2 linked regions of the Neodiprion lecontei genome follow. The protein of the gene in region 1 purifies or fractionates together with the protein of each later gene. This does not show direct contact. Links are inferred from orthologs where the notes say so. Each region holds a gene or a part of one and is shown in the gene's direction. Other genes may lie near its edges.

Region 1 (7,087 bases):
TCATTGATTAATAAAAATTTGTAACATTTGCCAATTGATGCAGTTTGCAATAAATCCCATGACTCAATTTTTTACCTCCAGGTTCCATAAAACAATCTTACAATTATTGTAGAGCAAATTAAAAATTTTTTCATACCTAAATTTTATGGAGTAACTTAGAGAATATATTACCAAAGTATTTTAGGTAGTATAAGCCAAAGTTATCGGAATTAGTTTTTTCAGATTTGCGTCAATCCTAGACATAAGTAGCAATGAGGATAACTTTTGTTCAAGACATTATGAATAATGAATACACATAATTCTATATCACTTTGAAATCGTGCAATATAAGCTGGTATTACATAAAAAGAAATTGAACAAGTAATCAATTTGATATTGTATCAACAAAAAATTATATTCCTAGTTACAAAAATGAATATACCACAAGAATAAGGAGGTAGATGCAAATTTAAAACAATTGAAATGATCAAATTCTTTATTGAAGCTTGAACTTTCAAATACAAGATGATACGGAATTCTGATATGAGAAAATCAGATTTTGCAGAAGCCAAAGAAGCCATAATTGAGTGATGGAAACTGCCAGGAGAAAAAAAAATTGCCAGACGTCTGAATTCTTGGCCCTGATTAAATAACCGGCGAGTACGTATCAAGGTGAAAGACAAAATAAATAAATTAGAACAACGGATGAACCTATAACAGGATAAAATTAATCAGGGAGGCGAATGATTCATTGAGTGGAAGATCCACGCCTGGGTAATATATTCGTCCGTCCGTGAAAATGATTATACGACCTTATAACTGTATAGCTCAGGTTTGATTACCCTATTAAAATCAAATAATGGTGAAACAATAGATTTTATTCAGGATGTATACGACATACTTGTCCCTCCTCTGGTGGATAGAATAATGTACCGAGATTCCCGTTCTTCACCTTGTCATTATAAGCAAAATAATTTATAGCTACTATTCGTCACTTGCGTATGAACTATCAGCGCATTATAAAGTGGAACGTGTCACTTGATTACTCGGAATTTATGTAATTTGCTGTCTGTACATGCATAAAAATTTAGCTACGAAGTGTGAATACTCTTATGTCAGTAACAACAATAAAACTAGAAGTAAAAAAAATTTACACAGATCCAAGAATGGCTAAACAGCGACTACAGCCAGGCAAGCAAACGCGAACGACGCCTGTGCCGTGAAGCTTGCAACTACCGTGCTCACTTTTCTTTTTGTGCACCAACTACGACATGACGACCGCCCACAGTACTAAGCAATCTCATGGGCGAACGCAGCCTTACCTCAGCTCCACTCTGCTCTATTTCAATCTTCAACTGTCTGCTTCAGGATGGTTTCAGGTTAAACGAACCTAACCTACTTAACCTGACCGAATTCCCGGTCGCTCCACAGGTTTGCACGTGTGGTCACCCTGTTCCGTCGGGTAATCACTTGTTTTGGGAGTGTCCATATTTTAGCCTCCCCGTGTCAAACTTAAGAACTTTCTTCAAAAACATAAAGTTACTAGAGATACTGACCTGCAAGAAATATTTCTAAAAGGGTCCACTCAGGTTATCACGGTCCTAGCAGATTTATAATTAGGAATAATCTCAACTTATGACTATGCGCATTTGCCTATTACTTTATACATCTCTGTGTCTCTGTTCAATGTTTTCTTTTGTTGTTTTTTTTTCCTGTCGTGCTGTTACATCCTTCCTGCCGAAAGCTTTGGAAACGAATATGCAACAGGGCACATTCCAGAGGGGGATAGAGGAGTAAAATAAATAAATAAATAAGTAAATGATTAGTATAAAATAGGGTTAAATATAATCTAATAGTTAAATAAAGTAAGAATAAGTTCAATTAAATACCTAAGGATCACCATAGTTCTTGAAATTCCTGGATATCCCAGGAATAAGCTAAGAGTACGTTGGCGCTTCTTTTTCGGGGGCATAGCCATTAGGAAGAAGAACCTGACCCAATCAACCCAAGACGATTCTGTAGTAGGTTGGAAACGTGTTGTTTGTTGTTCAAACAAAAATAATCAAGCACCGTAATGAGCGCGTACGGTATGAAGCTAATGAAAAAAACGTACGTAAAATTTTTGCCTAGTACAAATGATAATAATAATTATTATTATTATACGCCTTTTCAATTTCTGTGTATATCTTATCATTAAAAATTTTGAACAATACTTTCATATAGGTTATAAACATTGGAAAAACAAATAAAAGTTTAATATGTTTATTTTTTCGCTATAAATTACAAACTTTGGCGTTATCTGAAAAAATAATCAATTCGAATACAAATTTTTATTATGATTTAAAAATTAATTAATACATCCAATCTTTCAGATATCCTTACCCAGCATCTGTGCGTTGTCAAAAGTGTTTGGAAATGGGTCACTGGAGTTATGAGTGCAAAGGCAAGAGGAAATACGTTCACAGATCTTCACGAACTACGCAATTAAAAAAGGCAATAAAACAGCAAGAGGTGGAAAAATTGTAAGTTCATGTTTGTCTACTGATACGTCTTCCTAAATTCCAATAGTTTTAATTTTATCATTTCCTCTGAGTATCCGCTATATAAGATTGTTCTACAAAAAAAATGGTATTCGAATCTGCGTTTCATTTTTTCAATCGCCATCTTTAGCATTTTTTGACCTCATAACTTTTCAATAAAGTGACTCGTCTAACAATTTTCATAGGGAGCCAGAGATGACCAGTGAAACTGTGAAACAGAAAAAAAAAATTAGAAAGGAATCAAGTAGTACAAGTGATTCAGATAGCTCAAGCACAGATAGTAGTAGTTCAGACAGTTCTTCCTCCGATGATTCGGATTCCAGTGACAGCTCATCTAGCTCGAGTAGTAGCAGTGGTAGTAGTAGCAGCACCTCATCCAGTTCATCAAGCAGAGATTCTAGTTCCAGCGAAGGTACCAAATCCAGTAAAGCAAAAAAAACGAAAAAATGTAAGTTTAAATTAGTACATACGTTCAAATTAGTACCTACTCCTGTTGTAACATAGGAATGAGTTCATTCATCATTCTATATTGCGAAGTCATGCAAATTATTCTAACATTCCAATGAAGAGGACATGTTTTCTTGTTGTAGAATGAAAAAAAAATGAAGTTTTTGGATAAACAAATCAAGCCTTGTGCAAAAGGATTGACGAGTAGCAAAGTAGAAATGCGTCAAAAGGTTCCATTTACATTTTTAAATGTATGGAATCTCATATCATCGACAATCTATTTTTTATCACTTTTTTTACCATTGAATAACTTCATAGTTATTTTACTACTATTAATGTATTACTTAAGGACTTAAATATAATAATGCTATGTCAACTAATCATAAGGAAAAAAAGTATATTTAAATGAGTAAATTTGAAATATTTGCTATCTGCACTATTATTATTTATTTAAATTCCAAATTTCTAAAAGACATTTATTTATTTTCCATATGACCATTAGGCTTCTTTGTTTGGTTAATAACGTGACTGTCAACAGAACATTTACATACTATGCCATCATTATAGTTGGTCAAATGCCTGTTAGTATGTGCCCGCAGACATTCAATAATCTCGAAACGTACAAGGCTGTAGATACTAATTGGTGATACAAACTATAATATTTGTCATGAACTAGGGGCTTTGCTCCTGCTTGCATCGCATATCGTTCTGTTGTGGAAAATGGATAGTTCGTAAATGTACTCGTCAAATTGTATCGTGAGCAGTCTGGCAATATGAAAATTGTAGCCTACCATCCCCACCATTACTCTACTGAATTTACCAAGGAAAACCCAGCTGAAACGAGGATGGAGATGAATGAATAAATTACCAATTTTGTTTATTTCTCAGTCCCCTGGAGCAATGGGGTGATAAGACAGAGCCTGTGTTAGTTTGATAATCATAAGAATGATATTGGTAACCCATTAAAAATCAGTCTAGCAGTTTTTTATTTATACTGCACACATATGCAGCTGTCTCATTATCATACTAATATTAGCACAACATTGTTCATTTCTTGAAAATGTTATGAGATCCCGTTTATGCAGCATGAAAATACAATTCCTTTTATATACATATTATATAATGGGATAATTTTTCTCCAATTCTTCGTTAAAATATATTCTATACAAAAGAATATTGTTAGTCTCTTAGCCAAGCGTAATCTTATCTTAGGTTCCGATTTTCGAATCTAAAAGCTATTATGTATATTGGTCAGCAGCTACTTCATAGAATCAGCCATGTAGGATCCTATATAATAACCATACCAAAATATCATGTAAATATATGGCATACAGAGAGCTACAGGGACTCATCAGACAAGATACTATTCAAATCCATACATCTGTTTGTAAAATATTACAACTCACTAATGAGTTGCAAAGAATGTATATTATTTTTTCATGATCTTAAGCATTGTTCAAACTGATCTGTTACACATATCAAATCAATCAGTAACGAGTTCAGCATTTTCGTTGAAAGTTTGATAATCAAATATTTCAACAGTTTCAGTTGCGCATGCATTTTTCAAGACAAAAAAATGGTTTGTGAAAGAAATATATCACAACTCTTGGGAAGTTGTAATATTCCGAGTGACTTTACATGACCTGACTATACCAGAAGTTTCCTACAATGCCTCATCCAATATCCTTGTTATGTTAATGGCGAACGTTTATGGTTTGGCAGGTGTCAAACAGATTAAGAAATTCTTGCAGATAATCGGTACATGCATTACTTCAAAGTACCGTTGTTTTGGTAAAAATCGTAGTTTCAAACAAGTCCATGTAAACAAAGCTCCATTAATTTTATGATGAGGAATATTGATGTCTTCGATATCTCGGTGTTTCGGTATTTCAGTATCAGTATTGCAAGATCATGCTGATGCCGTTATATTGTGCAAAGAAATTACCAAACAATCTTCGGTATACCTTTTTCCATATGATATCAACTGACCAGAAGTCACAGCATGATGGGTGTCCACCAGGGATTGACAGTGGTGTTCTCTTGGCAGTGAGCAAAGGCTACAAATACATTGAAGAGCTACCACCATAAGCCTGTTCTCCATCCAGATGTAGACAAATATATTGAGTTGATATTTAGAGATCTAATTGTGACAGTTACAATGCTATGACAGAAGATACACACCAAATTCAAACGGGAGCTTCAACAACGTACTTTGGTAATAGCACCCGAGATCAACCATAGCAGTTCACACATTGGAAACATTGCCGCTAATACAGCGACATGAATTTTTAACTCCGGAACCAAATTAAAAGGAAAGCTGATTGGTACTGCGAAGTAGACGATGAGGAGCACATTCATATCAACCAAATTGAAACTAAACAGGCGACCCGTGAAGAGGAATTCAGTGTAAATAGGTAAGAATTGATGCTGGAATAGTAAATTATGACCCTGGAATCACTGACGGTAAATTGAAGAAAAAAAATATATCTTGCACATAATTTCTTGGCCAAACGTTGAACTCAGTTATCTTAAAACATCAATTTGGAAGTCGATTCTCAAAATATTTCGAAAATGGTTCGACTGATTTGCTGCAATTTTTATACAATGTTTTGTGACATTTTTTCTTATTCACACGGGAGAATTTTTTTTAAAACCCCGAGGGTCGAAAATTATGGACGACGAACGAACATCATGTTCGAACTGTCGGCATTTCTGTAAAAATAAGTTTCAGGATAGAAATCTACCATCACGGACTACTCTATATATTATATTTTAAGATTCCCTTTGAATTCTATGTTTCAGATGAACCGACTGCACGGATTCCTGGATCCATGAGGAATACGTTTTACGCTGGACAAGATAACAGTGATTCCAGAAAATGGGTTCCTGTAAAAAAAAAAAAATTTATACATGCACCTGCATGTATACGGCTTTCAAATGAAAAAATCTGATTCAAATGGAATTATTAGCTTATGAGATAAACATTCCCGAAATTGCTCTTGCGGTCTACTGGTACATTACCCCTTGATAATCTCCATCAGTCTCCAGTAAAAATACTTCTTTTATATCAAAATTATAGCAGTGTTATAGATAGCAAAAATAACTCTGTATTAATTACTACGCGTTGATGGGATGATAATAAATTCAATTCTTGAACATCATAATGCTACAATACATACATACTATTGATCTCAAACCTACCCTTTTCAACACAATGCCGATTTATTTATACATTAAAAAGTTTGACCCAAAATTCCTCGCTCATATTATTGTGAAGGCACCTATATATCAACTTGAATGTGACCAATATCAATAATAAAATGTCCGCTCAAATGAATTCACATATTTTCTGAAGATTGATTTTGACATTGTGGTATAATAAGATGAAGTGTATTTATAAAATTAAAGCCTATTACATATCAAACTAAGGCCACTTTCTTCAACTTATATCTTAAAAGTTATATTCTATTGTCAATTGGTTTGTTCGTGCTAGCTACACTTTTTATACTTTTTACACTTTTGTGTGAGGATACCATCACTATAATATATTGTGAAAGTGTAGATAGTGTAATTGGCAGGAACAAACCAAATGCTTTCAGCTTCATCATTAAATATAATAAAGAATATAAAAATATGGATTTCAATTTGGATAGCCATGAATCATCATTACAGTCTGGTGTGATGTTAGTATGCTATAAATTTACTAAAAAACAAATTGGAATATTTTTTCTATTCAAACTCTGAAAAAATATTACCCTAATAATGTTTGATCATGTGAAATATACAGTATTCAAAGCACTTACACTCCAGAATAGGCATTGCGCTTCAGGGACGACAGCTAATACTATAGAAATGACTATTTTCTGCTTTTTTTTTCAACTATCCAAGGGTGCTTCATCACAGCAGGTAGTGGAATTCTGTCAGAGCTCTTCCTTTTAATCAGCTATAACATATCAACAAGTTAACATGTTAAAAATATCCGTACTACAATTTGAATATGAAAGCAGATACTTATAAAAAAAAAAGGAATTGTTGCAATATTAAAGTACAGGGTGAATGTAGTAGAATACTCAAGTAAGTAGACTAAATACTTTGCGACAATTCACTGGCCCAAATTTTAA
Region 2 (5,487 bases), about 6.5 Mb from region 1:
AAGATTCAAATAACCACCTTGCATAAAAGCATCTTGCAACTTGTATGAAGCCAAAGTGTTTTCATCTCTCGAGTGAAGTATCTAACAGCAAAGCGGACTAAAGAATCAAGCAGCTAGACATTGCTTGTTATAATATCGAAAAATATATTCACTAAAATCATTGTTCCTCTTGCTAACATCAGGTGTAAATAGCGCAGTGTCAACTGCGTTTGGAATGACTGACACCCTTTCTATTTGTACTTTTGCTCTTAATACGGTATTTTCTTTTCCAGTGTGCGATACACATATGCAGTGATTGCAATCTGACAGTGATATCTCTATGAATTTGTTGGTCAGGATAGCAGATGCGTCAGCAAAACCAAATAATGAATGGTCTGTGAATACAGTCTAGAACAGAATTCGTACAAGAGATTTAACATAATTCAAACTGTTTTCATTGCTAATTTCATTTATTGCTTTTCCAGGCCTCTCAGTTACGTGACATAGTATGTCCCACGAATATCTCAAGACACCTGGAAATGCGACCGCAGTTTACCTTCAGTCCCATCAGCCTCCCTATCAACATCCCTTCATGGGCTAAGGCAGAGAATGCCGAATGCCCATGGATTATCTGGATCTGTTCCCGTATGAAGATGTATCTGATCAATGGGAGAGAACAGATCATGGTGGGCAGCACACATTGATTGTAAAATACTTTTATCGGCAAGTAGTAGACCTGAAATGTATAAAAAGTAATATATTCAATGGTAGTGGTGAGTGGGAACACAAAAAGTTGATTTAACACTACAATAAGAAGTTACTCGTAGATTTTGATGAGCTGAGTGACTTGAAACAGTGTTTTTTCTATATTTTTGCAGAGGAATTAGACCCTGAATGAGCATCCAGGATTAAAAACAAAAAATTTGATCACAGGGCAAAGAAGAGTATGTACTTTCAAGCCATTCGTCATGTACCGTATTCCTACTCTATCACCATAAGAGTGCGTCAGCACTACGACTTTGTGTCCTCGACCCAATAGGCACTGGGACAAATTGAATATGTGCTCTTCCACCCCACCCATGTTCGGATAAAAGAAGTCGGAGACCATACTGAAAGAAAATATCAAGTTATGGCATTGTAACTTGCTAAAATATGAATAGGTAAGTTCATTCCAAAAGTTATCTCAGTTTGCTGTAGTCAAGGTAGGGTATGTTGCAAAAACAAGATGGATAACGAGTTGAAATAAAGGAAACAGATGTCACTTCTTAATTACAAGTCATTTGCAAATAATTGATATAGTTCAGCTTGACGATAAACTTTGACTTTGCTTTGGTGTCAGAATTTATAGGTTAGAATAGTCGAAAGCAGTAGGCATTGATATAAGGATATTTTTACAAATAGAATTAATGCTCACCATATCTTATGCCGGGTTTGTCCCATCTTGACATCTGAAACCGAGTTGTTTTTTTTACACAATTACCTCGATTTGACCTGTTTCACCACCCCCGTGTTTATCAACGAGCGTCATTGTGGATTTTGACCAGATTATTGCAGACGATAACTGCCAAACTGAATTCCCTCAATTGGCTGATGATGTGATGACGTTGCGGTGGGATAGGTGAAATGAAGCCTTTTCATTGGCTTGAAATGATAAACCCCTCCTACAAGGTGGGACCTGGTACATCAGAACCAATCATTCGGGCGTATTTTTCTCGTCGCTAGCTGTCGCTAGCACCGAGTGTCATCCTATATGCTTCGATTAATCGAGTTCCAAAAAATAATCGAACATGACTCAATTGAATCGGTAAATATTAACCGATTAATCGATTATTCCGTATTTTTTTTTTTTTTGAAACGATGCATATGAAATCAAAATGTTGTAAGTGAAAATATTCATATACGCCTTTCACTTATTATATCAAATAGGTGCTTGGTAAGTAAGACAATGTCAATTGTTGATACTTTAATCATATAAATTGATATTGTATTGTAAGGTTTCTCTCTGTATTGTATCATTCATATGGGAGTAAAAATCAAAAACCGATTGTATATAAGAAAGAACAATCGAGTCGGTCGATTAATCGAGTTTAAGAAATAATCGATTATACTCGATTAATCGGGAAAAAATGATCGATTATTTTTATGATGGTTTGGTTGGATTTGGTACGCGAGACGACGTGATCGGATATCGGATACGGGGACCTCGGAGTACGAGGCCCTGCTGCTGCTGTTGTTGTGTATACATACACAAATGGCCGTTATGTTTCACCAAAGATGCGGGGAGCGTGTTAATTTAATAAATGACAACTGTACCGCCGTCCGAAATTTCTCTGTATATAATTACGGGCTCGTATTAAGCTCCGAACCGCTCAAGGATGATGAACTCTTCGAAGTTCGCATCGATAAAAAGGTAACGATGTGCACCACTCGACATGTTATGCTGCAGTTCTCCATACTCGTACCTGTCGCCCACTGCATCGACTCGCCGAACTGTCAAATCTCCGGGATTTACAGGTTTTCATCACGCTATCGTCGCCCACGACTTTTATGGACAAACCTCGGTTTTCCAATCCGTATCTTTCACGCAGTTTCTTAATTGTAACGCCGTTTCCTGCATGCCCCGTGCTTGCATAATGTCCTCCTCAACTAGGCAAGACAATATTCTTCGCTTCGTTACTTGTCTATCAACATATCGTTTCTGCTCTTTCTTTGCCTATTTGTTTCTTCACGGTAATTTCTTTCAGATGGTATCATGGAGCGGAAGCATTGAAATCGGAGTGACATCATGTGATCCGGAGAGTATGGAGTTACCGGCATGTGCCAATAAGCTTAGACTTGGATCATGGATAATGTCAGGTTCTGGGATTATTCGTGACGGACAACCAATTGTAGAACTGTACGGGACAGATCTTGAAACGTTAGAGGAAGGAGATTTTCTTGGTGTGATGAGGACCTCAAATGTTAGTCTTAACTGTGTATTTGGTTCATTTCTCTTTTTCTTGTCGATGACTTTTTTATGTGTAGCACCGAATCTTGAACCGAGCAGAATATGAAAAGGCCAAAATGTAGGATCATCTAACTGTTTGAACTTATTCTTTTTCTTCACCTACTTTATCATTGAAAATTGGTTAACTACAAACATTTTAAGAGGATATGTTAAGAGGATTTTGTTACCAAACAAGAATTTTAATAACAAAATTAGATACTAATTGACGATTCATCGTATTTTCATTATACTTATTTCAAAATTTGAGATCAAAAGAACAAAGTAGGACAGCATTTTCTTCAAATTTCATCACTGGCTTCGTCTTGTGCACCAATTCTCTACGAATAGATGCACAAAAAAAAAGATAACTTAAATTTTATTGGATAATACAACTAGCTTAATTATTTAACAAGGTATGCACCTTTCATGAATTGCTTTTCCACCTGGAAATTATATTTAGAATTGTCTGATTTCCATGCATCCGTCACTTGTATGTTACATGAATAAACTTTAACATCTCTTGGAATGGAAGAATTATATTCCAATTAGGATTTTATAAAGTGATAAAAATAATGCAATGTTTTTTCAATACTGTCTCTGTCATTTTTGAGAATCGTTGAATAATAAACTCCCAACCGTCAATGTTTGTCAAAAATTGACCAGAGAAGATTTAATGAACTCCATTATTTTTTGATATTTATAATCCAGTCATTGAAATTATGACGACACATTTTAAAATTGAACAGACTGAAATTCATGTATTTGAAACAATTATTAGTCAAATAAATATTTTGTTTCATTTTCAGAGTGAACTAGTGTTCTATGTAAATGGAATGTCTCAAGGTGTAGCAGCTACAAATATCCCTTCACGAGTATTTGCAGTAATTGATATGTATGGTAACTGCGTCCAAGTAAGCGTCTCTCAGCCGAGGCCAACACTTTCCATAACAGACGTAACAAATGAGACAGAAATCAACAATGATCACGCACTTGCACAGACGTCAAATTCTTCAACGACAAACTTAGTTACCAATCTGAACGTTAACGTTAATGTAAATATCAACCTACCTAAGAATCCAAGCGCAGCTGCTATACGGGAGGACAGATTAAGGTTCCATGAGCGAGTCGGAACCCTCATTAAATTGTCTAACAATGCTAGAACGGCAGAGAGACGAAGACCACTTGATGAATTTAATAACGGTGTTGTAATGACGCACAGAGCATTAAGAGATAACGAGCTTTTTGAGGTAAGACTTTTCACACCTTGGCTTACCGCGATCTAATATTTTAAGTTTTCAAGTTGAAAAAGTATTTGATGTGTCATACACTGTGTTGAGTTATACTTTGCCTGGGCGAATCGATTGATTCATTAGCTTGAAGTTTGTGGTAAGGAATGTTTGCAATCTAAACAAATTTTTTAAATGTGAACCAGATTCGAATAGACAGATTAGTGGACAAATGGTCAGGAAGTATCGAAGTAGGTGTTACTACTCACAGTCCGACAGCACTAGAATTTCCCGCAACGATGACCAACATGCGATCTGGAACAACCATGATGTCTGGCTGTGGAATTCTGACCAATGGCAAGGGTACTCAGCGTGAGTACGGAGAGTTCAATTTAGACGAGTTGAGAGTAAGTTTAAATCCATGGCATAAAATGAATTCAGTGAAGCAAGATATTGCTTGCAAAGTTTGATATGGATTCCATATTACAGGAGGGTGACAGGGTGGGAATGATTAGGCGAAGTAACGGAAACCTTCATTACCTTATAAATGGTTTGGATCAAGGTATCGCCGCCAAGGTTCCCTCGGGTATTTGGGGTGTTATAGATCTTTACGGGATGACTGTTAAAGTAACCATTGTCGACCGGGATGAGAGAGAAGAACAAAATTTAGTCACTAGACGAAACACTCTGCATCTACAGGGATTAAATGGCGAAGGTAAAGTTCTTCTATTTTTCGGCATACTTTTTCTATCGACTGCTTCATCATTGTGTACTTTAATGCTAATTAAACTATATCCAGTTTTCCTTATGACAAAGTAAACTTATCCTTTCATTTATCTGTAGAAATGATAGACGATGATGCGATAGATAGACTGATGTTTCACGTTTGTTGTGGGACACATGCGGATGTAATTAATAATGGAAGAACTGCTCATAGACCCAAGTAAGCGTATAAAATGAACAATAGTATGATTTCTCAGTGATCTTGCGAAACAAGAAAGGAAAAGAAAAATTTATTAATCCAGATCCATAATGGCATGAAAACAGACCATCATATTAATAAAAATACGTTTGCAGCGCTCTAGATGATTTCAACAATGGTGTTGTACTGACTTCTCGACCGTTGCGTCCAAATGAATTATTTGAAGTTAAGTTAGACAAGATAGTTACAAAGTGGGCTGGATCGATTGAAATTGGCGTCACTACTCATTCTCCGACTGAATTAGAATTTCCTTTCACAATGACTAATGTAAGGTATGTTGTCAGTAAAGAAGAATTAACTTCTACATACTTATT

What was found. The genes of interacting proteins can lie anywhere in the genome.
Region 2: the proteins of zinc finger CCHC domain-containing protein 10 (region 1) and neuralized-like protein 4 purify together in Homo sapiens (co-immunoprecipitation; 3 studies listed by BioGRID and IntAct, with this or other methods). This does not show direct contact. The link is inferred for Neodiprion lecontei from reciprocal best matches to the Homo sapiens genes ZCCHC10 and NEURL4.

The regions. Positions count from the first base shown.
Region 1 is NC_060263.1:34,455,431-34,462,517, reverse strand, and holds zinc finger CCHC domain-containing protein 10, read left to right. Parts: upstream 1-1,957; 5' UTR 1,958-2,053; coding exon 2,054-2,088; intron 2,089-2,351; coding exon 2,352-2,501; intron 2,502-2,704; coding exon 2,705-3,023; 3' UTR 3,024-3,109; coding exon of another isoform or gene 3,110-3,111; 3' UTR 3,112-4,958; coding exon of another isoform or gene 4,959-4,960; 3' UTR 4,961-6,140; downstream 6,141-7,087. Other genes in the region: E3 ubiquitin-protein ligase Arkadia, read right to left, coding at 1,869-1,957; aurora kinase C, read right to left, coding at 6,823-6,909.
Region 2 is NC_060263.1:40,957,832-40,963,318, reverse strand, and holds the start of neuralized-like protein 4, read left to right. Parts: upstream 1-2,143; 5' UTR 2,144-2,230; coding exon 2,231-2,389; intron 2,390-2,493; exon of another isoform or gene 2,494-2,629; intron 2,630-2,723; coding exon 2,724-2,939; intron 2,940-3,771; coding exon 3,772-4,212; intron 4,213-4,397; coding exon 4,398-4,598; intron 4,599-4,680; coding exon 4,681-4,906; intron 4,907-5,034; coding exon 5,035-5,134; intron 5,135-5,268; coding exon 5,269-5,445; intron 5,446-5,487. Other genes in the region: phosphatidylinositol N-acetylglucosaminyltransferase subunit A, read right to left, coding at 153-387, 536-715, 932-1,088, 1,394-1,419. UniProt on the Homo sapiens protein: Promotes CCP110 ubiquitination and proteasome-dependent degradation. By counteracting accumulation of CP110, maintains normal centriolar homeostasis and preventing formation of ectopic microtubular organizing centers.